Regions from separate parts of the Mus musculus genome. Here regions 2, 3, 4, 5 and 6 are each reported to be linked to region 1. The links are microRNA targets in miRTarBase. Many come from high-throughput screens and were not tested one by one. Region 1 holds a microRNA gene; each other region holds the end of a gene's coding sequence. Distances are between the middles of the regions.
What was found. The annotated mature microRNA mmu-miR-206-3p reads UGGAAUGUAAGGAAGUGUGUGG and lies in region 1 at 1,695-1,716, opposite strand. An mRNA with a match to its seed (bases 2 to 7 or 8) in the 3' UTR can be bound and repressed. Matches are read on the target gene's strand: a 7mer-m8 pairs with bases 2 to 8, a 7mer-A1 pairs with bases 2 to 7 and ends in A, and an 8mer does both.

Region 2: miRTarBase lists Smarcd2 as a target of mmu-miR-206-3p. The part of its 3' UTR that is shown has no 7-base or 8-base seed match.
Region 3: miRTarBase lists Adar as a target of mmu-miR-206-3p. Seed matches in the 3' UTR shown: 7mer-A1 at 986-992, 7mer-A1 at 1,509-1,515 and 7mer-m8 at 2,996-3,002.
Region 4: the mRNA of Notch3 is a reported target of mmu-miR-206-3p. Seed matches in the 3' UTR shown: 7mer-A1 at 1,261-1,267 and 7mer-A1 at 1,403-1,409.
Region 5: miRTarBase lists Tgoln1 as a target of mmu-miR-206-3p. Seed matches in the 3' UTR shown: 7mer-A1 at 2,313-2,319 and 7mer-A1 at 2,528-2,534.
Region 6: miRTarBase lists Pax3 as a target of mmu-miR-206-3p. Seed matches in the 3' UTR shown: 7mer-m8 at 2,676-2,682 and 7mer-m8 at 1,684-1,690.

Annotation. Positions count from the first base shown.
Region 1 is chr1:20,676,684-20,680,770 of GRCm38, reverse strand. It overlaps Mir206 (microRNA 206), which reads right to left and starts at 1,761; the gene lies at 1,689-1,761. The region is part of intron 2 of Lincmd1 (long intergenic non-protein coding RNA of muscle differentiation 1); the gene reads right to left.
Region 2 is chr11:106,260,642-106,264,728 of GRCm38, reverse strand. Smarcd2 (SWI/SNF related, matrix associated, actin dependent regulator of chromatin, subfamily d, member 2) reads left to right here. Exons shown (of 13, transcript NM_001130187.1): 10 at 1-57; 11 at 174-296; 12 at 433-534; 13 at 610-1,558. The coding sequence ends at 663. Psmc5 (protease (prosome, macropain) 26S subunit, ATPase 5) reads right to left here. Exons shown (of 11, transcript NM_008950.1): 3 at 3,807-3,876; 4 at 3,447-3,544; 5 at 3,019-3,306; 6 at 2,697-2,823; 7 at 2,421-2,611; 8 at 2,227-2,325; 9 at 2,038-2,148; 10 at 1,846-1,932; 11 at 1,617-1,720. The coding sequence ends at 1,667. Among named protein-coding and RNA genes, the nearest start is that of Gm23645, 2.5 kb to the right of the region's middle.
Region 3 is chr3:89,750,420-89,754,506 of GRCm38, forward strand. It overlaps Adar (adenosine deaminase, RNA-specific), which reads left to right. Exons shown (of 15, transcript NM_001146296.1): 14 at 209-336; 15 at 510-3,036. The coding sequence ends at 756. It overlaps Chrnb2 (cholinergic receptor, nicotinic, beta polypeptide 2 (neuronal)), which reads right to left. Exons shown (of 6, transcript NM_009602.4): 6 at 3,029-4,087. Among named protein-coding and RNA genes, the nearest start is that of Chrnb2, 12 kb to the right of the region's middle.
Region 4 is chr17:32,118,357-32,122,443 of GRCm38, reverse strand. Notch3 (notch 3) reads left to right here. Exons shown (of 33, transcript NM_008716.3): 33 at 1-1,624. The coding sequence ends at 624. The region is part of intron 1 of Gm38585 (a long non-coding RNA gene); the gene reads right to left. Among named protein-coding and RNA genes, the nearest start is that of Gm38585, 7.2 kb to the right of the region's middle.
Region 5 is chr6:72,608,401-72,612,487 of GRCm38, reverse strand. Tgoln1 (trans-golgi network protein) reads left to right here. Exons shown (of 4, transcript NM_009443.3): 4 at 378-4,068. The coding sequence ends at 383. Among named protein-coding and RNA genes, the nearest start is that of Tgoln1, 6.6 kb to the left of the region's middle.
Region 6 is chr1:78,099,798-78,103,884 of GRCm38, forward strand. Pax3 (paired box 3) reads right to left here. Exons shown (of 8, transcript NM_008781.4): 8 at 1,470-3,777. The coding sequence ends at 3,511. Among named protein-coding and RNA genes, the nearest start is that of Pax3, 95 kb to the right of the region's middle.

The DNA of each region.
Region 1 (4,087 bases):
GCCACACCTCCTTGGTGTGAATCTTCTTGGCTTGGCTGTCACAATCTTACCTTCTCCACTGTCCTTTTTCTAATGATAGGCGTCTTGTGACTCCTGCCCTCTATCTCCTCCCATGTCTATCTTGTCCACAGCTTATGTTAGGGAACAAGAAGCCAGGCAACTGCAGGGGCAGAGACAGCCTGGCTGTCTGAGATTATTTCTGAAAAAGAATTCTGAACACAGCTCCCCCAACTCTTTCCTTGTGTTTGCCCATGTCTTTTGATCCAGCCTCAGCAACACAGCCATCTATATAACATATCTCTGATTTCAGAACGACATGAAACCAAACACCAGGGTAGAAAAAAAAATCCATGGGCTAGTTAGAAAAAAAGATAGGCTGTCAATGGAAAGAAGTTCAGTTTGAAGCATCAGATATTTTATATAAAAAAGACTGAAGTCTAAAACAGAAAGGACAGAGATTTTTTTTCCTGGAAAATGCCAGTGTCGGACACCATACTAATAAATACAGGTTTTCTCGATCTTCACACATTGACATTTTGACCTGGGTACTTCTTTGCTATGGAGATGGTCTGTACACTATACATGCTTCGTTGCACCCCTGGTCTCCACACCCTAGACACCAGGAATACCCTAAGTGTGACAACAATTTTTCCAAATTACCCACTTCCTGGGAACTGATCCACAGTGGTACGATCCTATGCTCAGTCCTCTAACTGGCCCTTCTCTATTAATCTCCCCCCATCCACCACCCCTGTTCCACACTCTCACCTATCCCCAGAAGAATAGGGTGGCATGCTCATGATGGTAGCTAGGGAACTACCTGGTTCCTGAAAGAGGGATGTAGTGGTCCCCAGTGTGGCTGCATCTCACTTGGGAGTATGAACACTGCCCAGTGTGTTCGGTATGCTGATGTTTTTGAGGGTCCAGGAAATACACATATCCTTTATCTTCCTTTTTTGCCATTCTGGGCTTCTGGGCATGGTGCCAGTCTTCAAATGCCATGGTGCTTCATTTTGTTTTGGGTAAGAGCTCAGGCTGCATGTTTAATGGAGTCTTAGCCTGCATCTGGCATATCACTACAGCGCCTCTTCTCGGTTTCCCTCTAGAGTCTACCTCCTTCATGACATGAGCTTAGACACTAGAGTCAGAACTGGGAACACAGGGCACTGGGTTGAGAACAAAGGAACTTAGGCCACTGAATGATTGCAGCACTATTTTAGGACCCCCATCTTTCTTCAGACAGTGTGACCCAGAAGCAACACACTGACATGGGGTTGTGAAGTAGAAAGAACAGCAGCAGGGCCAGGAGATGTGGAGCCTTCTACCAGGGTGGTGTTCTTCAGAGCCCAGTAGTTGTATACTCTCTGTTTATAACACAAGTCACACACCTGGCACCATGAACTATCCCTGAGCTTGCTTGGTAGAAACATCCATTGCAGGAGCCATATGAGCAGAGGAAGGAACTAGGACCCCGGGAGCTGATTCCCTGAGAGTAGATGTGAAGGATGTTGGTATAAAGGGGCTAGGATGGGGAGCATAGTTGACCTGAAACCCAGTATTGTGGGAGAAGTCTGTAGAGGTAGATTTCTGGGGAAGAGGGCACCTGCAGGTAAGAAAATGTAGCCAAGGAACGAAGAAGTCAACAGCATATTCTCTGGGTGGAGCCATCGGCCTTGAAGAAGCACTTGCCAAAACCACACACTTCCTTACATTCCATAGTGCTGAGATATCTATGAGGATATAAAGAAGCATGTGGCCTGGGGAAGCTGTGTCCTCCGAGGCACTTGTCACGCAGAAGGAAAAGCTGCTTTCTTCCTTGCACAAGTGAGAAGTGTGAAGAATCTCTGGGACCTGACTTCATCCATTCTACACTCCCAGAAACTATCCTGGAGTAAGGTGCCATCTTGGCCTAACAGGCAGAGCTTGTTGGGAACAAATTTCCCCCTATACACTTCAGTCTGAGATCAAGGACCCCAAGGCTCCCCCAAAGGCCACTAGAGATTTCAGCGTAGTTATGGCCAGGCAACCTGTGTTATCACTATAATTACCAGGGTGCAGGTTGCAGGGTGGATTTGAAAATGCTTCTTTTTCTTCTTCTTCTTCTTCTTCTTCTTCTTCTTCTTCTTCTTCTTCTTCTTCTTCTTCTTCTTCTTCTTCTTCATCTTCTTCTTCATCTTCTTCTTCTTCTTCTTCTTCTTCTTCTTCTTCTTCTTCTTCTTCTTCTTCTTCTTCTTCTTCTTCTTCTTCTCCTTCTCCTTCTCCTTCTCCTTCTCCTTCTCCTTCTCCTTCTCCTTCTCCTTCTCCTCCTCCTCCTCCTCCTCCTCCTCCTCCTCCTCCTCCTCCTTCTCCTTCTCCTCCTCCTCCTCTTCCTCCCCCCTCCCCATCCCCCCTCCCCTCTTCCTCCTTAATATTATGGAACTAATAGAACATTAAAACAGGGGTAACATGTGGAGAACTGCTCAGCTTAGAGGCTGGCCCAGGCGCTATTGTACTTCCTATTTGGGTTGCTTGGAATATGCTGACAGGCTGCAGCTGCCAGATGAGCATTCCAACACAATTGTTCATTGTGGAAGGGATCTTTTTTTGTTCAGCCCCTGCTGCTCGTGGCCAATCACCTGCGTCACAATCTGTGAGGCCTGGGCTGTAGGAGATGAATGGACACTGGCAGCTGTTGAGCCATTCAGGGTCTGACTGATCACCCTGGATGGGGAAAATTAAGGGTTTGAACTTCTTGGCATAGAATTCTCTGTCAGGAAATAGAGAAGCAAGCTAAGAGGAGAAGAAGGGTCCCGAACTGGCTCATAGCTCTGTGAGGGCTGCTTCATACAATCAACAAACAATAATAACTTTTTAATAATAATAAAAAGTAACTTTTTTCAGATAAGTTTTATATGACAGGATCATTTTCAATGTCTTCCCTATGCCAGCTCTTTGAATCCTCATATCTATGTGAAACTGTTTTACCCGCTTGTTTCTGGTTTTACACATGAAGATATGGCTCTAGAAGTGAATTAAATTACTTATATGCAAATGGAAATTATTAAAAAAAAAGAAAAATCAAACCAGATTGGAAGAACAGCCTTGGATCAGTCCAGGCTTTCTTTATGAGAGCTTGGAAGGTAAGAGGTGTTGGGAAGGAAGGGAGGAAGGAAGGAAAGAAGGAAGGACACAAAGGTTTTATATTCCATTTTCATCCTTCTGCAGTTTTGAGCTTGGTATGCTGGTATTGCATTGATTTAGAAGTCATGTGTGTGTGTGTGTTTCCCTCCCTTAGGTGTGTAGGAAAATGATCCAGGCATACTAGCATACTAGTCAAAATCTTTCTGCATGACACAGGGAACAATCCAGTAATTCACTTAATGTAATCTATTGGCTGTTTAAGATTCTTTCTGCTCTGAAAGGATACCATTCTTCTTGGATTAAGCATAAGCTTTATGTAAGGGAATCTATGGCCAAACTTCCTGCACATTTGGTGGATTGGTCTATCCAAAGCACAGTGCCAGGGACAGATAACTCTGTAGCGGGCTACTCAGGTCAAAGGAGATGTTGTCTTCTCTCAAAGATGACTTTGAGACCAAAGTGTGGGCACTTTGCCCCTTCTTAGAAATGAGGAACAAAACACCCATGGAAGGTTGAGACAAAGTTTGGAGCTGAGACAAAAGGATGGACCATCTAGAGACTGCCACACCCGGAGATCCATCCCATAATCAGCCTCCAAACGCTGACACCATTGCATACACTAGCAAGATTTTGCTGAAAGGACCCAGATGTAGCTGTCTCTTGTGAGACTATGCCGGGGCCTGGCAAACACAGAAGTGGGTGCTCACAGTCAGCTATTGGATCGAACACAGGGCCCCCAATGGAGGAGCTAGAGAAAGTACCCAAGGAGCTAAAAGGGTCTTCAACCCTATAGGTGGAACAACAATATGAACTAACCAGTACCCCCGGAGCTTGTGTCTCTGGCTGCATATGTATCAGAAGATGGCCTGGTCGGCCATCAGTGGAAAGAGAGGCCCATTGGTCGTGCAAACTTTATATGCCTAAGTACAGGGGAATGCCAAGGCCAAGAAATGGGAGTGGGTGGGTG
Region 2 (4,087 bases), not on the chromosome of region 1:
AGCAACTTCCTGGCCTCTACCACCAACCAGCAGGAGATTGCTTCTCTTGACGTCAAGGTGAGTCCTTTGGGGCCAGGGTGAGGGTGAGTTGGTCTGTTCCTTTCACCCAGCACACTGACAGGACCTCAGACCCTAGAGCTGGAGCACATTTGACACAGACACCCCTTCTCCAGATCCATGAGACCATTGAGTCCATCAACCAGCTAAAGACCCAGAGGGATTTCATGCTCAGCTTTAGCACCGAGCCCCAGGACTTCATCCAGGAGTGGCTCCGTTCCCAACGCCGAGACCTCAAGGTATACTTCTTGTTTTTTGAAGGGTATTCCATGGAACATAGTGGGTAAAAGTTTTTCTACCCCATGTCTCAGGTAGACTGACCGAGGCAGGGGTGGGAATCGTGCCACACACACCTTAACCCCTCGTTCTTCACAGATCATCACAGATGTGATTGGAAACCCTGAGGAGGAGAGACGAGCTGCTTTCTACCACCAGCCCTGGGCTCAGGAAGCAGTGGGGAGGCACATCTTTGCCAAGGTGAGGCTTTGCCATTTTGGCCTCCGCTTTTCTTGAGAAGCTGAAGCCTGAGGCTTGCTTTGTCGTCTTCTTCAGGTGCAGCAGCGAAGGCAGGAACTGGAACAGGTGCTGGGAATTCGCCTGACCTAACTGCTCAGGGATTGCCTCCTTCCTTCCTCCCCTGCCCTGGATGGAACCTGGCAAGAGCCCGTCCTCTGGGTTCTGGCTTGGGCTGCAGACATGTAGGATGGAGTGAGGTGTGTTTCCTGTCACCCTCCACTCCCCAGCTTTAGTTTCATAAATGTAGTTTTAGATCCCTCACTGCTTGGTTCCCAAAGCCTTATTACTGACCTTTTAGCGCTGGCTTTAATTGGGTTTGCAATGAGCGGCCTCAGCCCCCTGCAGGCAGGCAGGCCTGAGTAGGAGGCTGGAGGCTGTGCTTTAACTTTGTACCAGACATTTCCAAACCAAAGGCTGCTGGGTTTGCATGTTTACAGGCTCCACCCTAGGGCCAGTGCCAGAGCTGGCTTTGGGGAGCTGGGCAAGGAAGAGAAGGCCCTAGACTCTTCCTGGCCTTTCTAACCAAAGTTTTTTGCCATTCCTACAAGCCCAGTCTTGCTGCTGGTTTGTCCTTCTTTTTGGGTATTTGCACTATTTGGGGAGCAGGTTTTTCTATGTGGGAGCCACTTTTTTGTACAGAGGTAATGGGGTTTTTCAGGGAGCCCACTTGGTGCCTCCTTCTTCCTTTCTTTTCTTAATCTATGCAAGCGGCTGCAGCCGCCATCATCTCCTGGTATGCCACAAGGCTGCCCACCCATAGCTGCTTGGGCAGGGGGAGGTGGAATCTCCTGAGAGTGGCAATGCCAGTTCTCTAACCCAGTTACAGCAGGGGTGTGTGTGCGTGCGTGCGTGCGTGCTGCAGGGGAAGGGGAAAGCTGGAGGACTGCTGTTACCTTTTGCAGTCGGTCTTAAAGAGGATGGGCCTAAGGCTTGGCAAACTTGGAAAATTCCAAATAAATCTTTTTGTTTATTGGTGGTGCCCAGACCTGGTCATTGAACAGTGCAACCGCGTATTAACAAACTGGAGTTGTAGTGTTTATCATCACACAGACCTTTATTGGTTGGGGGGGGGGAGCACACAAAGGACACAGCCTCACTTCCATAGCTTCTTGATGGACATGTTTTTCTCACTATCCTTTTGCATGACCTGGAGAGGGAGAGAGAAGAGAGTGCATATACACGGGTGAGCAGGGATTTAGGAACTGTGAACACAAGCGTGACCCCTGCTCCAGAGCCACCACAGCAAAGGCAGACAAGTGGAGGCACATATACCTTAGCTACTGCCATCTCAAAGTCCTCCTGAGTGACGTGGACACGCCGTTCCCGCAGGGCGTACATGCCAGCTTCTGTGCACACACCCTAGGTGGACAGAGAAGCTCAGACCCTGCTGCTGGAGCCCCTTAGCCCTGAGTTGGCTCTTAAGGCTTCCTGCTATTGCCCTGCTCCCCTGAAGCCTCCAGTTACCTTCACTTCAGCCCCTGAAGCTCCCGGCATCAACTCAGCAATTTTCCTCAGGTTGATCCCCCTGGTCAAGTTCATTTTCCGAGAGTGGATTTTCAAAATGTCCAGCCGGGCCTAGGGATAAGAGAAGAAAGCCCTAAGCCCTGCACTGTCTCCATAGCCAGAGCTCCTCCAGGCACCTCCAGCACAGACCTCCTCGTTGGGGGGTGGGAATTCAATTTTTCTGTCAATCCTCCCAGGACGAAGCAGGGCAGAGTCCAGGATATCAATCCTATTAGTAGCCATGATAACCTGGGAAAAGAAGGAGTGGGATCAGCTACACAGCTCGTAGGCCTGCATCCGCCTCACACCTTTCGCTGGCTTGTCTAAGGCTTATACCATCTCACCTTGATATTCTTGGTGGCCTCAAAGCCATCCAGCTGATTGAGCAGTTCCAGCATCGTGCGCTGTACCTCACTGTCGCCTCCAGAGCCCCCCTCCAGCCGTGAGGAGCCAATAGAGTCAATCTCGTCCATGAAGATGATGGATGGAGCATGTTCTCGGGCCATGACAAACAGCTCCCTCACCATTCTTGCCCCTATGCAAAGGCCAACCCGGCATTAGAGCTATGTGCACCCCACCATCTACCCTTCCACTCACTCCTCACAGTCTTAGCCAGTTACCTTCCCCGATGAATTTCTGTACCAGTTCAGAGCCAGAGACACGAATAAAGGTACAGTCTGTATGATGAGCCACAGCGCGGGCCAACAATGTCTTCCCAGTGCCTGGGGGTCCGTAGAGCAGGACTCCCTAGAGGGAGAGTATACATTACACTCAGGGGAAAAGGGCAACTCTCTTACGGAACATGCCCACGTGAGGGCTTTGTGTTGGATCCTTGCTTGAGGTGAGGGAGATGCCTCTCCTGGACTGTGTATTCAAACTAGCTTACTGCTCTGGAAACCTTGTTGCTGGCTGTGGTCAGTGTGAGGCTAAAGCTGACGGTACCTTTGGCTGTGCGATGCCCAGTGCTTCAAAGAGCTCGGGGTGCTTCACGGGCAGCTCGATCACTTCTTTAATCTCCTTGATCTGCTTGTCCAGGCCGCCAATCATCTCGTAGGTTGAGTCTGGCACCTTCTCCACCATCATTAGTGACACCAAAGGGTCCACCTTGTTAGGTAAGATCTTATGCAGAGTGTAGCTGTCATTTCTTAGAGCGACCCGACAATTGGGCGTCACATCGTTGATATCAATGTTCTTGTCCACATCAACAACAAATTTGCCCTCAGGATGGACCTGAGAAAATAATAATGGGCTATGATCTCCCTCGGTGGTCAGCATAGCCACCCCAACCAGGATTCCCGCAGGGAAGCTTGGGGGCAGTGTGACAGGGAGGGAGCACTAGGAGCCTGGCCGCGGCGGCATGCTGCTTTTACCTTGACCAATACTTTTTTCTTATCCATGGCCCTCACGACTTCTCCAACGTAGGAGCCCTGTTCCTGCAACAGCTGCAGCTCCTCCCGCAACAGGCGAACTAAAAACAACAACCACCCCCAAACCATTAAAGAAACATCAGCCACCGAAGGACCATTTTTTTAACACTTGGAAGGGATGAAAGAACTTAAGACTTGAAAAGGGCTTCCAGCAGGGCTTTGAAGAGATGTGCACGGGAAACAGCCACAGACAACAGTGAGACTACACTGTCGACTGAGAGGAGACTGAGCGCTGCACAAAGATGGGGACACCTAAACCCTGCCTCAAACCAACATTGACTTTTCTATCTTCTCCCCTCTCACCTTTTGCATTCAGCTCATTCCTCTGTGCCTGCAGTCTACGGAGATTCTGGCTCTTATCATTTACAATCAACTGTGGAGACAAGAGACAACCCCATTACTCAAGGTCAAAGCCTGTAGGAAACTGGATCTTGGCTGAGACTCTCTTTCTCCAACTCCCCACCTCCCCCCACCCCCAGACAGGGTTTCCCTGTGTAGCCCTGGCTGTCCTGGAACTCACTCTTCGGCCTCTATCTCCCAATTGCTGGGATTAAAGGCGTGCACCCCACTGCTCGGCTTGGCTG
Region 3 (4,087 bases), not on the chromosome of region 1:
CCTTTGCTGGGGAGTCAAGAGCAAGCTTTTCTTCCCTTTGGGTGCGTGGACTTAGACTCTCGGTCCTTAGCCTGAATAGTGGTTAAGTCAGTGCAGCTCACAAGGGAAAGATGAGGCCCACATACTCCTTTCCCAGAAGTCTTGCATGCCTGCTCTGAACCTTTGCCCTGAACGGCTTGCCTCTCTTCCATCACCCCGTGGTTCCTAGGTCGGCCGAGTCAGTGTTTATGATTCCAAAAGACAGTCCGGAAAGACCAAGGAAACAAGCGTCAACTGGTGCATGGCTGATGGCTATGACCTAGAGATCCTGGATGGCACCAGAGGCACTGTGGATGGGTAAGGAGTGGGAGGGCACAGGAGAGGCCCAGGCAGGCTTCCTTCCAGACGCCCAGGGGCAGGCCCCTGCCTGCTAGTACTGAGTTCAGGGCCATCCACCCTGTGCAAAATCCACACCTTAGCCCCCACCTCACCTGCTCCCAGATGAATAACACGTGCCTTTGTTTCCCCAGACCAGGGAAAGAGTTGTCTCGGGTGTCCAAGAAGAATATTTTCCTTCAGTTTAAGAAGCTCTGCTCCTTCCGAGCCCGCAGAGATTTACTGCAGCTCTCTTATGGTGAAGCCAAGAAAGCTGCCCGTGACTATGACTTAGCCAAGAACTACTTCAAGAAAAGCCTGCGAGACATGGGCTATGGGAATTGGATCAGCAAACCCCAGGAGGAAAAGAACTTTTACCTCTGTCCAGTACCCAATGACTGATAGTGGGGCGCGTTTCTCCTGGGGTCAGAGGGCGGTCATGGCATTCCTCATCACACCGGGCCAGAGGATAGGAGCTTTTTTTACCCACTCCCCCCTTTTTTAATGGTAGAACCATAATAGATGGTACCAAGAACTGCTTTCTTTGGGATTTCAAGGTGGGGTCCAGCCAAGTCCCCACCTCCCTTTTCTCAAGGGAAGAGGCCAAGATTAAAGGAAATGGAAATGCTACCATTCCATATGTAGCACAGACAGTTCTTGGTCACATGGAGCCCAGGCCCCTCGGGCTTCGTTTTGCGGAGGTTTTTTTCATCTCCTTTTCCTTTGCTGCACTGGCCTCTTGTGGGTTTGATTCCATCCCATCAGTTCTCTGTAAATGATGTCAGGGGCCAGTGATGTCACCTGCAGATGCGCAGGCAGGCCCCTGCTCTGTCATCCTTCCCTCCTAGGATGCCTTCCTGTGATGAGGTTTCTCCTTCCCCACCCCAGAGGATAGAGGTGAACATAAAGGATTGGTGAAATGTTTACAAGGGCAGGAGTTGACAACCGTGGTCAGGGATTGTCGAACAACAGGAATGTGGTAAACTGTGGTTGGGACAGGCAAGCCCTACCCAGTAACAGGCCGTGCTGGCCCACCAAGGAACTTCCCTTCCTGGGCAGCAGGGAAGTTGAGAATCGGCCAGTGGGACCGAGGAAGGTACCCAAACCAAGCACGTCCCAGTAGGGGTCCACAAGCACTAACTAGAGTGCACCAGCATTCCATGGAATGTCGCTATGCCTCCATCTGCCCCTCCATGAGCACTCCCAGAAGCTGGCCCTGGGCACGTGTGGTGTTGGCCCCAGGCCCCAGCTGTTTGTGAAAAGCAGAGGGTGAGCATAGTGGGCAGAGCAGCTTTGCCCAGACGGCAAAGGTAAAGGCAGAGCATCCTGCCGGTGCACTGGGATTCTTCTGGTCTCAGCAGAAGTGACAAAGCCCTGCATAGAATTAATGTTTCTAAAAGGCCAGAGGCATTGATTCTGAACTGCATCAAAGACTGGAGATGCAAATATTACTTCTCCATTAGTAAATGTACTTTCATTCTATCAGATGGCTTCAGAAGCTGGGTCACGGACAGGGCACAGGGCCCTGGAATCTCTGCCCTGCTCCTTTGAGGATCTTCATTTACATACAAGTGTTGTAGGTGGCAGGGCAGGCTGGCCTCCCACTCTGGGATGGGCTTCTTTGACTCCTCCCCCTCTGACAGTGACTTGTGGGTATGTGGGAGCCTCTGTAGAATCTGGTTCTAGCATCAGATCAACCAGCCAGACCCTGCTCCATTCTGCCCCTCTAGGACCAAGCCCACCTCTTTCCTCTGAATGGTGTGGCTCCATCTGGAGACAGCTGGCCAGTGTGTTCAACAGTTTCCTGCACCCCCTTGCTTAACCCTCAGAGCTGCCTGGTTCCCCCACCCTCTGGCCCACTGCCAACAGCAAACATCACATTCGTACTTCAAGTCTAATGGCTACTGCCTCCTCAATCTATGAACAGATCTGGCCAACACAAGAACCTGTGTCTTCACAATACACTGGGGATGTCTTTGCACAGCCAAATCATCCTATGAAACTCCAGCGTCTGTGGAAGTGAGAAAGCAGCACCATGCTTGTGGTGTCGGCTGGAGGCGTGTCACCCTCCGGCAACTGCATCTGAAGCAGAGCCCTTGTGGTTTCCAGGCCTGGACAGGGAGCTCTTCCCCTGGGGTCTAAAGGACAGAGATGTCTCTCCCTTTGATTCCTTTGGTCCCTCTGGTCCTCCCTGGGTATTCACACATACCCCAATCCTGTCTAGACAACGAGTGGTTCTGGGTTTCTGCAGATGGAAGAGAGCAAGGTGTCCCTGAGTTCTGTGGACTTGACCCCCGCATCCCACCCTGACCCTGCCTCCAGTCCCGCTGGCCGAGGGCAGAGCCTCCTCCCACTGTGCTTCCTTCACGTTTACTTTAAGAAGCAGGGCCTCCCTCCACACCGTCTCTTAATACTTTCTGTAGTTGATTTGTCTGAACCGTGGCTGTCTTGCATTCCTTGAATAATCATGTGTAAGAATTGTCAATGCTTGAAACTATTTCCTGTACTCAAGTTGAAGGGACTTTGTTGGCCTTGGGGTTTTAGCAGTGACTCCAAGAGCAGAGTGGGGAAGCACCCAGGCATAGCCTTGGCGCTGTGATGGATGCAGTCCCTCCCTCTGTCCCTTTACAAGTGACAGTATACATTCCTAAAAATAAAAACACTGAAGCATCAGGACTGTTACAAAGTTTTATATCTTGGTTCTTGGGGGAGGTGAGATTGGGAACAGGGACCTGTGACAGGATCTCTGGCCACAGCCACAGTAGTTTCAAGGGCCCCACTGCTTCTACAGTCTGACTGTAGTTCAGGCAGTGTGATGTGCCAGCCAGTTGGGGACTCGGCTATGTCCTCAGCACTTTCCCTGCTTCAAAACTTTTCCCACCTGAGCCCACTCTGTCATCTTTTGTTCCTAGTTTGGGGGTTGTGGGGCTTAGTAGATTTCAAAGCCCCAAATGAGAAAACAGCACTGGAGACAGCAGAAATCTCTGCTCCTGCCAGTCTTGCTGGTGTTGCTCTCCCCACAAGCCTCGGCCTTTACTGTCCTGTACGTGCCCTTTGGAAGGCAGTTGCAGCTGGGACCACGACACATTCAGATGCACCTTTTAACTTTGTGGATGGCATCGAAAGTCCCCCTCTTAAATTTTAAGGAAACCCAGCTCTTAGTAACTTACTTCAGAACTCCTGGAAGACCTATCTTTGACCTTTCAACAGTGACAACATACCCAAAGACACTGAGTGTGAACTCTCTCATAATCCTTTAGACAGATGGGTCAGCTGAGGTCAGAAGACCCAGTGACATGTTTTGGGGCACAGCACTTAAGTCCAGGGCTTCATGTGGTAGTCACTCCCTGTTTAACTGAGCTGAGCAGTTTTAAAGGCAGTTCGAGGTGACAACTCCTGCTGTCCTAAAGTCTCAGTGGCTCTGTCCTCCAGCAGCCACTGGGTCCAAATTCGAGGAATGGAGTATTCCAGTTTCTGAGGGTGTATCCAGCTTTGTGGGCTAGAAGTGTTGCTCAGGATAAATTGGCATCACGTACAAGTGGATTCCGTTGATCCCTGGCCCTCAAATTTAAAGATAGATGGTTTCCTTAAAGCCTAGCTGAAGGCCCCAAGGGCTCACCCACAGATTCACTCTGATCCCAGGATCTGAGCACAGCCTGTGCAGTGGGGGTCTGCCAGCTCACTGAAGCCTGGATATTTTAGAACCCAGACTGGAGAGGAAGCCCAAACCCAC
Region 4 (4,087 bases), not on the chromosome of region 1:
TTCAGTGGGCCCCCTGCTTCCCCTGGAGGCTTCCCCTTGGAGGGCCCCTATGCCACCACGGCCACCGCGGTGTCCTTGGCACAGCTAGGCGCAAGTAGGGCGGGTCCTCTGGGGCGCCAGCCTCCTGGGGGCTGTGTGCTCAGCTTTGGTCTGCTCAATCCTGTAGCTGTTCCCCTCGACTGGGCCAGGCTGCCTCCACCTGCCCCTCCAGGGCCCTCATTCCTGCTGCCCCTGGCTCCGGGACCCCAGTTGCTCAACCCAGGAGCCCCAGTTTCTCCCCAAGAGCGGCCCCCACCCTACCTGGCTGCTCCAGGACATGGAGAGGAATATCCTGCAGCAGGAACCCGCAGTAGCCCCACCAAGGCCCGCTTCCTGCGGGTTCCCAGCGAGCATCCTTATTTGACCCCGTCTCCTGAGTCCCCAGAGCACTGGGCCAGCCCATCCCCCCCATCCCTCTCAGACTGGTCTGACTCAACACCTAGCCCAGCAACTGCTACCAATGCCACAGCCTCTGGAGCCCTGCCTGCTCAGCCACACCCCATATCTGTTCCCTCCCTCCCTCAGTCCCAGACTCAGCTGGGACCCCAACCAGAAGTTACCCCCAAGAGGCAGGTGATGGCCTAAGTTCTTGGATTTGAGGGGTGCTGAAGTGACACTCCTCTATGACTTCTTTCTTCCTCCTTTTTAATCTTACTCTCATCCCTTTCTCTCTGTCCCAGCCTTCCTGCACCTCTCTGTCTTGTAGTGTGACCAAGTTGGTCACCAGCCCAGACCCCCAGTCTTCCTTTATTTATAATGGGTAGGGGCTGACCTTCCACCACCTTGGCCCCCTAAGGGATCTGGGACCTCCTTTTGATCCCTCTCCCTGCCTCAACTTCCTCCCCCCCCTCTTTCTGCTTCTCATTGTCTCACACTCTGACAAGAGTGAGTTATTATTTTTTTCTTTTTTACATTTTGTATAGAGACAAATTCATTTAAACAAACTTATTATTATTATTATTTTTTACAAAATATATATATGGAGTTGCTCCCTTCCCCCCGCTGCAAATTCCTCCAGCGCCCCCGTGGGGCTGAGTCTGTGGGCCCGTTTGGCCAATCCGGACTCTGTGTACTGAGTACACAGATATGACTAGGGCTCCACGTACTGAGTATGTGGCCCTCGTATGTACCAAGTAGCCAGCCTTGGGCACACCCTCCCCTGGGGTCAGGGGACATTTGGGAGCCTCCTTCCCCTCCCCATTCCCCTTCCTCACTTCACTGCATTCCAGATAAGACGTGTAGACTCACTGGGAAAGGGGTCTTGTCTGCTCAAAGCCTCAACTCCAGGCTCACCTCCCAGAGCCTGGCTCACCTTTTAGGGCCTGGGGTGGGGGGGCACGTCAGGGGAGATGTATTTTGTATGCATTCCACTTCTAATTGTAAATACAGGGCAGAAGGTGGGAGTGGCTCTCCCTCTTCCTGTTGTTCTCTTGGCTCAGCCTGCCTAATAGAAATGTTTTTAGGCTGTTTTTGTAATATGGCACCTGGTCACAGTCCTTTGTAGCTGAATTCCCAGGTCCTGCACTGTACAACCCTCACCTTCTCAGTTCCCTTACCACCTAATAAAGGAATAGTTAATACCCAAGTGTCTGGTTTCTGTGCAAGGTCCAAAGTGGGGGTTTCTGGGCCTCTTCCTCCACAGGGCTAACTTGAACTCCCATCTTGGGGCAGAGCCATGTGCTTTGTCAGTCCACCTTTGACTCCTTTTTGGTCAGGTATCTAGCTTCATTTCTGTTGCTTTAAGCAAATACCTAACAGAAAAGAAACTTAAGGGACAGAGGGACTTTTTCCTAACTAAATATTCCAGGTTACAGTCCAACATTGTGAAGAAGAGGCAGGAACTTAAAATAGTTCACCACATCACACCACAGTCAAGAGCAGAGAGAAAGAAGTGAGTGGATGCATGCTTGCTTCCTTGTGTCGGGCTGAATCATTACACTCTTAAACAGTTTAGAAACCCTTGTTTGGGGAATGATGCCACCCACAGTAGGCAGTGTCTTCCCACATTAATTTGACTTAATTACGACAATCTCCTAAAGACATTCTTTCAGGTCAACTCGATGTAGACAACTTCTGTTCCCAGGTGATTTGTAAGTTCTGTCATTGTGACAAAACTGATCATCATATCAGGTGGTTTCAATTTTTGAATCTTGGGTTGGAACCAATAAAGGGACTCAAAACAAAAACAGGCAAACAAACCAAAAGGAAAAAAAAAAAACCTACAAAACTCAATAGTGTTATTTTGAGAACTTACTTTTTTCTTTAAAAATTTTATTATTATTATTATCATTGTTGTTGTTTTTTTTTGTTTGTTTGTTTTTTGAGACAGGGTTTCTCTGTGTAGCCTTAGTTGTCCTGGAACTCACAAAAGAAAACACACAAAATAACACCAAACCCAGTACACAGGAAGCAGGCCTGGCTCACCTGCAGAACTGCCCGAACAAGGCAAGACAGCCTATGGGACAGCAAAACAGGGCACAAAGAATGAGAGCCCAGGAGAGAGAGCAACAGACAGAAGAGACAAACCCCTAGGCGCCACCAGAGAATGATTGCCCTGGAGGGGAGAAGGTGGAGTACTGGGTGCTGGGAACACGCCACACACACACACTCTGTGTGCTGGTGTTTGCTTTGTGCTAAGCCACTGAGCTCAAGTGCTTGCGGTTTGCATCCAGAAACTCATCCAGTTGAGCCAGTATTACCCCCAGAGCAATGTGATGGAAATCAGCAGTGGTTTGAATCCAGAAATATAAAAACGGCACTTTTTTTGCTCACCTATCTATTCTAGACTTCTGTGCACTGATATAGGTTCCAGGGTCTCAAATCCCTTAAAATTCTAATCAACTGTGATGGGCCAGGCTGGAAGCAGCGATGACACGCGTCCTGGAAACCCTGCCAAGCTGTCCTGTACCGCTGCTTCTGCGTGTGTTGATAATTAATCCTTCGGAGCGGGCGCACGAATGTGAGAAATTGGCTATTTTCCGCTTCTGAATGATGGCTCTGAGCCACTACGGCAGCTTTTCCATTTCAAATCTGACTGTCAAAAGTGGTGCATTAATCAGTATTTCGTTAGTTTCAACATTTCCAGAATCCGCCTCCCCAAGTGCACATACAAAGTGCAGCCATCCTCAGCCGAGAAGGCAAGGGCGGGGCCTTGCTTCAGGTGACGACTCTTTCTTTCTCTTTGCACCACTCCATCCTCTGAGAGGCTATGGCTGTGACTCCGGAGCTCACTTCCCTGCAAAGTAGTGGCTCTTGGCTGAGTACTTCCAACAGGGAGACAGAACAGGACCGGAGGGTGGCAGACGGTGCCTCTATCCAATGGCCCCCTGGGTGACTTCCCCAGAAGCACTTTATTATTATTATTATTATTATTATTATTATTATTATTATTATTATTATTGGTGTGGTTAGTTGTTTTGAGACAGGATTGCTCTTTGTAGCCCAGGCTGGCCGTGAACTCAGAAGTCCACCTGCCTCTGCATCTGGTGTGCTGATTCTGATGTCACCACCAGATGTGAGCCTCCACCATCAGACTCACATCCACTACAGACGACCTGAATGTCTCAGCCAAGCTGTATACTAGAGAAAGTGGCTACTGTTACAAAACTCAGTGGAGACACAGCTCTAGCAGATGTAGGTCTGGCTGACCACATAAGCACTGACTAGTGCTGGAGACACACTGGTACTGAGCGACAGCTGTGCTGAGAACCATATCTGGCTGAGGTGCTGCTTGGGTCAACCTCTCAGAGTGTCCAGCAGGAGGCAGGGCTTCCAGACCTACTGATGGATGAGTCTGGGGGCTGGGCAAACTGGACAGCATTATTCTGTGGAGAAGCCTTAGACTGTCCCCCAAAGTAAAAGCACCCCAACCAGCCTGTTATACTTCCTCCCTCCCACTGTCAGGGCCACCAACGCCCAAGAGTGCAAAAGGCACCCAGGAAAGAGAAAGTTAAAAAAACAAGGGAAGGTTGATTTTCCTACTTCCTGCTGCCCCTAACTGCCAGACGAGGCTTCTCCCCCTGCCCCTCAAGCAACCCTCAGACTCCGC
Region 5 (4,087 bases), not on the chromosome of region 1:
ATGTACAACTTTCAGGTCCATATCTTATTTCTTTTCTTTTTTTTTTTTTTTTTTTTTTTTTTAAAAGATTTATTTATTCATTTTATGTAAGTACACTGTAGCTGTCCTCAGACACTCCAGAAGAGGGCGTCAGATCTTGTTACAGATGGTTGTGAGCCACCATGTGGTTGCTGGGACTTGAACTCCGGACCTTCGGAAGAGCAGTCGGGTGCTCTTACCCACTGAGCCATCTCACCATATCTTATTTCTAATTGACTTTAAAACTCACTATTGTGACTCCTGCACTTTTATTAATGGCGGTGGATGACTTTGTCTTACTGACATATCTCCCTGAAAAAGATGAGTGTTATCAACCGAGTGTGTTGTTCTCGTTTCAGCTTTGATCTTTACTTTGTCTGCAAGAACCGTGTCCTCCCTGCTGATTTGTTCCCAATGAAGAGAAATGAAAAGACTGTGACCTCCTCTGGGGTTTGGTGGCAAGTCTGGGCTGGCAGAGATGGGATAGCTTCAGGTTTTGCACCGGCACTTTGATGACACTCTCCTCTGGTGATGTTTTATTTACTTTTGTGTTCCTTGTATGCTGACGTGTTCCATCATCCTTTCTTCCTTGGAGTGCAAACGGAAGAAGCACATGGAAAAATGGATGTGACCAAAGGAAGACCCCACCTTAGGCAGGCCACACAATGGACCACCTTTCCACAGCCTCTTTATCTTTGCAACTCTAGGCGCAAACTGTAGAGAGGTGCTTTCTAGACAAGATGTAGATGGTTATGTGGGATACTGATGGGCAGAGATGGGGTTGAATACTTATTCTCTACAGAAGGCTCAGCTGCAAACCAAACTAGCAGGTTAAAGAGTGTTAAAGTCTGGTCCATCTGATAGTCTGTATATTTCTCTGAAAGTTTGCATGCTAGTTGTACTAGCATAAAAGGGACTCGAGGCTTCTGAAAGTAAAATCACTGTTTGATGGGATTTTTTAAAAAAATGATCATTGAACAAGTGTGTTCTTGCATACATTCACCCCAATAGGAACTTCCTGGAAAGGGACAGGTTCATGCTTTGTGGAAGAAAACACATAGGAGGGATTTAGTATGCAGGAAAGAGGTTTTCTACAAATTGAGTTTTGCTTTTATTGCCCGCAGTAGATAGATATTTAGAAACTAACTGCATTCTTCACACTCCTCCTTGCTGTTTAAGATGTGCAGGGAATAAGGAAAATCTTTCCTATCCTGTCATATCTGGTCATGAAACTGTAGGAAACTAAATAGGTTCCCTGAGATAACTGAAGATGTCTTGGATTATGCTGTGTCTAGCGTTTTATTCCAGTCTGTATGGTTACGCCTAAAGAGAGAAAAGTCTCAGCTAATCTCAGGGATGCAGAGAGAACGAGAAGAAGAAAAGTATGAGTCCTGTGCTGTTGGGGAAATCAGTCTAAGGAAGCAATGGTCTTGGAGGTCTTTTCCAGTGCTGACTGCAGCATGGGCTTGAAATTGAAGTATGTATTCTTGGCAGGTGGCATTCTAGAAATAAGGCCATGGCTACTATTGTCTCAGCTGTCCACAAGTCTGTTACTTTTTTCCAAGCCTTTTTCAGTCTCCTTTAGCTTTTCCTAACACCTCTTTAGTTCCCCACTTCCATTTTTTCTTCCTCTCTATAGACCTGTTTGTACATCTCTGAATGAACACCTTCCTTATAGCCTGTATGCACGCCCATACCTATCCTGTTCTAGTTGGTGTTGCTTCTATTGCCTTCCATCCTCTTCCTGACATTTGCAGGGTTGCCTTGGTCTGATTTCCTCCTGTTTCTCAAGGTTTACTCAGTTAACAGATCACCAAATTCAGCAGCTCATTTTCACAGCTTGTAACCCTTGGTAATAATGTTGGATGCCGGGGCCTATGCATGTTGACATTCTGGTTGTCTCTTGCAAATTATCCTTTGCCTTATCTCATGGGGATGGAGGAGGGTACCCAGGTCTCTGTTGCTTTGACTGTCTCAATAAATCCATCCATTCTTTATCCTCTCTGTGACGCTCATGTTTTTTTTGGCCTCCTTCCCAAGAACCCAGTTCTGCTAAATAACTCAGCCACGTTGTCTGCTTGTCACACAACCAGAGTTTCTCTCTTGTATCTATTACGTTTCTCTATCTATCCTTCACTTTCTCTAATCATCTGAAAACTCCACACTATAAACTAAAAACATTTTTATCATCACAGAAGTCCACTTTTTTTTTTTTAAAGAAATTATCTAGGTATACTCTCCGCTAATTTTTAGGAACCAGCTGAATTGACCTTACCAGTTTTGGAAACATTGATCATTCCAGAATGTGCCCCGGTCTGAAGCTTCTGTCTGAGGTTATAATCTAGACTACAGATTCCTCCTTGGCTGCACTGCGACACTCACTCCGTCTCTGCCTCTGCCCTCCTCGTGTCTTTGTATCACAGCTTTTCGGGGTTGCTCTATGGTTAGGCTGTCCCCTTCTTCCAGCCTTCTCAGGCCCTTGTGCTTGGAATATGCATAGTGGTCCTTCCATTCCACACTGATAGCTTACTGTCACTCTCATCTTGGAACTTCAGTGTGACATAGTTCTGATGTTCTGTGATCTCCCCCCAAGAAAACTAAGCTCTGAGAGACAGCCATTGTCATTGTTCTATCAGCCAGAGACCTTAGGGGTCAAATTTCTTGTTGGAGGTGTAGCTGAAACTGGGGCTCACATAGCTCTTCCTGGATACTGTTTGCTATGACCTTATACTTGTTGGCTTTTGCTCTTGAAGGACCGGAAGGAAAATTGATTTTTAGCAACAAAGATTGACAGTGAGTGGACAGACATGTGAAGGATTGCCAGAGTCTCCTCACCCTCTTTTGGCTGCTGACATGTTCCTTGTGCTGACAGAGTACAGTAGAATTTGTGTTCACTTGAGAAGTTGCACTGAAGGAAATGGTTCCCACCAAAGAAAAGTTCTTTTTAGGAGTTTTGTTTTGTTTTGTTTTTTGAAGGTAGAATACTTGAAGCATATTTGCTAGAGTGTGTGGCAATGGTCCAGCTGAGGTGTCTATACCAGGGATTGGGTTGGCATGTAAGAAGCATATGAAGTCTCAAGTAGCACTCTTGTGGACTTTTCTGAGCTTGCTCTCCTCAGTGTTTGGCTAAAGGGCAATTTCTTAAGGGGAAGCTGCTTGAGGTATAACTGTTAATAGTTTGTTTTCCTGCTGTGGACTAAAGAAGCCAGCTCTGGACAACAACTAACAAAATGTGCTAACATGTTTCCCCTAGAAACAGAGCTCTGTGCCCTTCAGAGTTCCTCTGGTAGGGATGCACTTTCTCTTTTCTTCGGGGCATGGTATGCTTTGCACATATCATGAGCCGTTCGAAAGCAGAGAAGGGTGTGCCAGGCCCTGTACCATAGTTTCTCAAAACTGCTTACTAGGAGGGTTCTGTTTGGCATTGCCTTAAGAAAGCTGTAAAGAGTCAGGCGTGGTGATGCATGCCTTTAATCCTAGCACTCAAGAGTCAGAGGCAGAAGGATCTCTGAGTATGAGGCCAGCCTAGTCTAGAATACCAAGTTTAGGCAGCCAAAGTTACACAATGATAGCTTGTCTCAAAAAAAAAAAAAAAAAAAAAAGCAGAAAGCTGTAAAGAGATGTTGAAATTTAAATACATCAAGATGGCTCAGTTTGTTTTGTTCCCTGCTCAGATGTGATACTAAGTATTTTAGCTTAGAAACTGTGAGTTTGGATCTCAGCTTGCATAGCATAGCAAACTACCCATGAAGCTGGCCTCCTCACACTGTTAGGAATTTAATTCAGACTACCATGTTAAGTGAGTGAATGTTGAAATTTTTTTCCTTGTCTTGTGTTCCCAGTTAGATTGCTACTGTTAGCCATGTTTGGTATTGTCACCTTTTTTGTAACTTAACTGTAATGGCTTAATTTTATTTTTTTTAAAGCTTACTGTGGTATAGTAAGTATTTTTCAGTATATTTTACTGAGCTTCTGTAAATGGAATCATAGCATAGTTTCATGTCATTATTGAACAGAAATCAATAAATTTCAGATATCAAAGCATTGAAACATTACATGTATTAATACT
Region 6 (4,087 bases), 57 Mb from region 1:
AAAAATCAGAGCAAGAAAGATCTATGGAGACTTTGAACATGAGAACTGCCAACAGAGCAATAGTTTCGAAGACATCCAGAAATAAGAGAAGGGCATAAAGACATATATCAGAAGGAGAGCTGGGCCCCACATGGCAGGTCCTGGGGTCAGGAGGCAGGCAGGAGAGGGCCCTGGGAAGACCAGCTTCTGTTGTGAAATCCGAGTCCTGGCAGCATGTCTCCATGCACCGAGAAGGAATTACTTTTTTAAATGCCTGTTTTCAACTTGGGTTTTGGCACAAGACTCGTATAATGCAACGAGTATCTGAAGCAGCTTTTGGAGAGGTAAAATTATGTGGCCCCTACTCCGACGTTTGGTAGAAATTGAGCTTTGCTTTTGCTGCTCCTACGTGCGGTATGAGCCCAGCCTAACCTAACAACTCTGGACCTGGGTCCACTTGGCTGTAAAACAGAGCAAAAGACACTCACCTCACAGGAGTCCTGTGAGAACTGACAAAAAGCAAGTGTTTGGTGACAATTATCTTCCTTTTCTACAACTGTATTATTTAAATTTTAAAAAAAAGTAATTGTCAGAAAAAGAGCAACATGGTGGATCAGAAGGGCAAGTGGAAGCTGAAAAGAGTATAGGCATTTTTAAAATTTGGAAACTTTTACCTACTGTATATCATTTCCTCTGGATAGTTAAAATCCCATGTGTTTTAAATCAGCTGACCAACAGAACTCCCTACCACAACGTTCTAGAATGTTCTACATCAATGCTACCCAATACAGCAATTTCTTGCTACAGATGATTGTCACACAGTTGAAATGACATCACATGAGACATTGAGAGGAGTAAGTGAATACAAGAGTTTAGTAGGTGTTGATTAATCGCCTTATAATAAGTAACCATCCAAATGTATTGAAACAGAAGTTCAACCCCCTGACTCATCACGTTGTGCCGTCGCAATGCCAGTGTCTAGTGTTACACCTGCCACATCTAGACTCTCATGAAATAAGTGTGGGGAGGAATAGGGGAAGAAGAGAAGGAAAGGAAAACAATGACAGAAGTAGACTATTTCCTTCCAAGGCTGAAATGAGTTGCTAAAACAAAAGTCTTTAAAATAAAATTTTCAATGTGGAGAACTTTGGGAGATGAAGTTAGATCCTGGTGTACTGAGATACATATTTATAAATGAGGCTGAAAGGAATTGACATCTCCGAGAGAACCAAAGAAACCAAAGAGGGTAGATGGAGAGGGAGGGCGCACTTCTAGATTCCACATCCCTGATATTGTAAACTCAGTCCTGCAGAGTGTGTTTAAGCCAGCGTCTTGGGTTTATATGTAACTCTTGTCCATGTCACAGTCTCATGTACCAGGGACCAGGAGTAGGATGGGTCCACAGTGCCCAGCTTAGCCACCTTTCTCATTCACTCTGCATTCCATCCTCAGCACCCCCCCCCCCCCCACACACACACAAAAGCAGTGTTGGGCACATTTTCATTAACTGTTTATTCATTATAAATAGTAAATATTTACTGCACTTTTTACATGAAAGACATTTTTACAACACATCATTGTTGGTTGAGGCTGCAACACAAAGATACTATGTCTCCTGTTCCATCACCCTGCCCAACGTATAAAATAACTCAGTTCTATGTCTAGTCCTGCTAACACACTACCTCATTGTTCTTAAATCTAAAGGGAATGTATTTGTGCCTACCTCATTCATGGTTCCAAGAATAGAAAGAAATAAATAACAGCACCGCCCACCTTCATCTTTCTCTTAACATTTCAAAACACAGATTTATTGACATCCTAAATGTCACCACATGAATGTATGTAAACCTGTTCCCTATATCCTTTAATATTGGGTATCGTTGTATAATTTAAAAGTACATGAGAGCCACGTGGACATTTCTGTTCTAGCCCTGCCTTTTGTAGAAAAGAGACGAATGTAAACACCATCTCTGTAGAGAGCTTGATTCTCAGACATGGTCTCTGAACAAAAGGAACAAGCAGGATGTGAGTTGTTTGGCAACGAGCAAACATCACTGCACTCTACTACGATGAGTTATGGGCTGCAAAAATAAAAACACCTGCAAAAATATAGTTCTGATTTCATTTCTATCACCTTGGCCATTGCCAAAGCATCTGTGAGGTACACAGTATTGCACGCTGAGAAGCAGATATGTGATGGGTGTCACTTCCTCTACATCATACCCTTCCCCCCCCCCCACCAACTGGCCTCCAAATCAATGTGACTTGGGAAGTAAATGACATCCATCTATCCCCACAGCAGATAACACACTTTTTTCTCATTATCCCACATCTTTTTACAAGACATGTCAGGGACATCGGTTGATAACTAGGTTACAAATGAAGGTATGGTAATAATTTACTGGGGAGATCCTTCACATCTAGTCTAGTGCCCTATACAATGGTGGTGTTGGTTTTCATATCGGTTTCCAGTGTGTCAAAATCAAGGATTTCTCCATTCCCAATTCACTACATAAGCAGTGTGAATGTCATAAACTTGGTCAGCCTTAGACATCAAACCTGTTAACTTTCAGGAATTCAACTACAATATATGGGAACATTCTGCTTACTCAAACCACCCCGTGAAAATCAATCTCTCTCTCTCTCTCTCTCTCTCTCTCTCTCTCTCACACACACACACACACACACACACACACGGAATGTTTTAGCTTCTTTGATCAGCAACAAAGATTTGGGGCCATTTTGATATGTAGCCAGTTACATCACTGTCTTAAAAATGGTGCATTTTAGAGCTCTGGGTCTTCCTTGTCTCCCCTGCCTTTTGTCCAATATGTTCAAAGAATCTGAAAGCAACTACTGGAGAAAGAAAATCAATCTCTTTTGTCTCCACCTCCCCCAAAAGCTGAATTTTTTTTCATTTATTTTTTGTTTGTTTTTAAATTTTTTTTATTGTTTTGTTTCTGAGAAGATTCTTCATGTCTAGTCTGTGGAGGCCGGAAACAGGGCTCCAAGTGGACAGTTCACTTATGCAATATCTGGCTTGAGATAATGAAAGGCACCTGTAAGGAAACACACGCAGCTTTTTAGGTCATGCTGGGACAATTCACAGTTAGGGGCAAGATCAGCTACAGGCTGACAATGTCATATTTAATACCACGGTATCAAAGGATCGAGACTAATATTTTTATTCCTGAGACAAGTTTGACACAACTCTGTGTCCTGGGCTTATCCCCATATGATCCTGGCGCTGACCTCATTAAGAACATGTGTTTCTAATGCTAGAGGTTATTTCATTTTGGCCAACCTCTGTGTTTTACCTACTGACAATCCGGTTTTCCGTCCCAGCAATTAATAACTGCAAGATGTTATTGACATCAGTTAAGCAAATAATTACACAAGGGAGCCTGTGCTGTAGCAATCAGCTGTCTTTGCCACAAAAAAATGATACTGGGATGAAAGGCTTAAACATGCCTCCAGTTCCCCGTTCTCAAGCAAGAGGTGATCTCTCTCCCTTCCAGGAGGAACTACCCCCTAGAACGTCCAAGGCTTACTTTGTCCATACTGCCCATACTGGTAGCCTGTGACAGGGTCCATACTGTAGCCTGCGGTGCTATAGGTGGGGGGACAATAGGGCTGAGATGTGGGCAGACTGTCCACATTCTTCATATGTTCCAGTCTCTGACTGCAGCTGGCTGACACCGTGGTCGTGGGTTCCAGGCCCCCAGTGAGAGGGGAGAGAGCATAGTCGGTCTGAGGCTGGTGCGGTACCCCACCGTGGTTGGTCAGAAGTCCCATTACCTGCAATGATGACGGGCAGAGCAGAAGTTAAAATGTGGGCAGAAACAGATGGCAGCCCCAAAAACAGCGCAAGATCTTGAAAGGCCAACTTTTATGTCTCTAGACAGCCATTGAGGAGCTTTTCTGAAGGCTTTGACCCCAATTCAAAGTGGCAGCCACATGACCTCACCCAAGATAACATCTGACGGCAGTTTCAGCAAAAGGAAGGGGAGGGAGAAGGAAAAGAAGGAAGGAGAGGAAGAAGACAGGAGAAGGAGAGATTACACCGTGTCTGCTGTGATAACATCAGACTGGAATTTCAAAAGAAAAG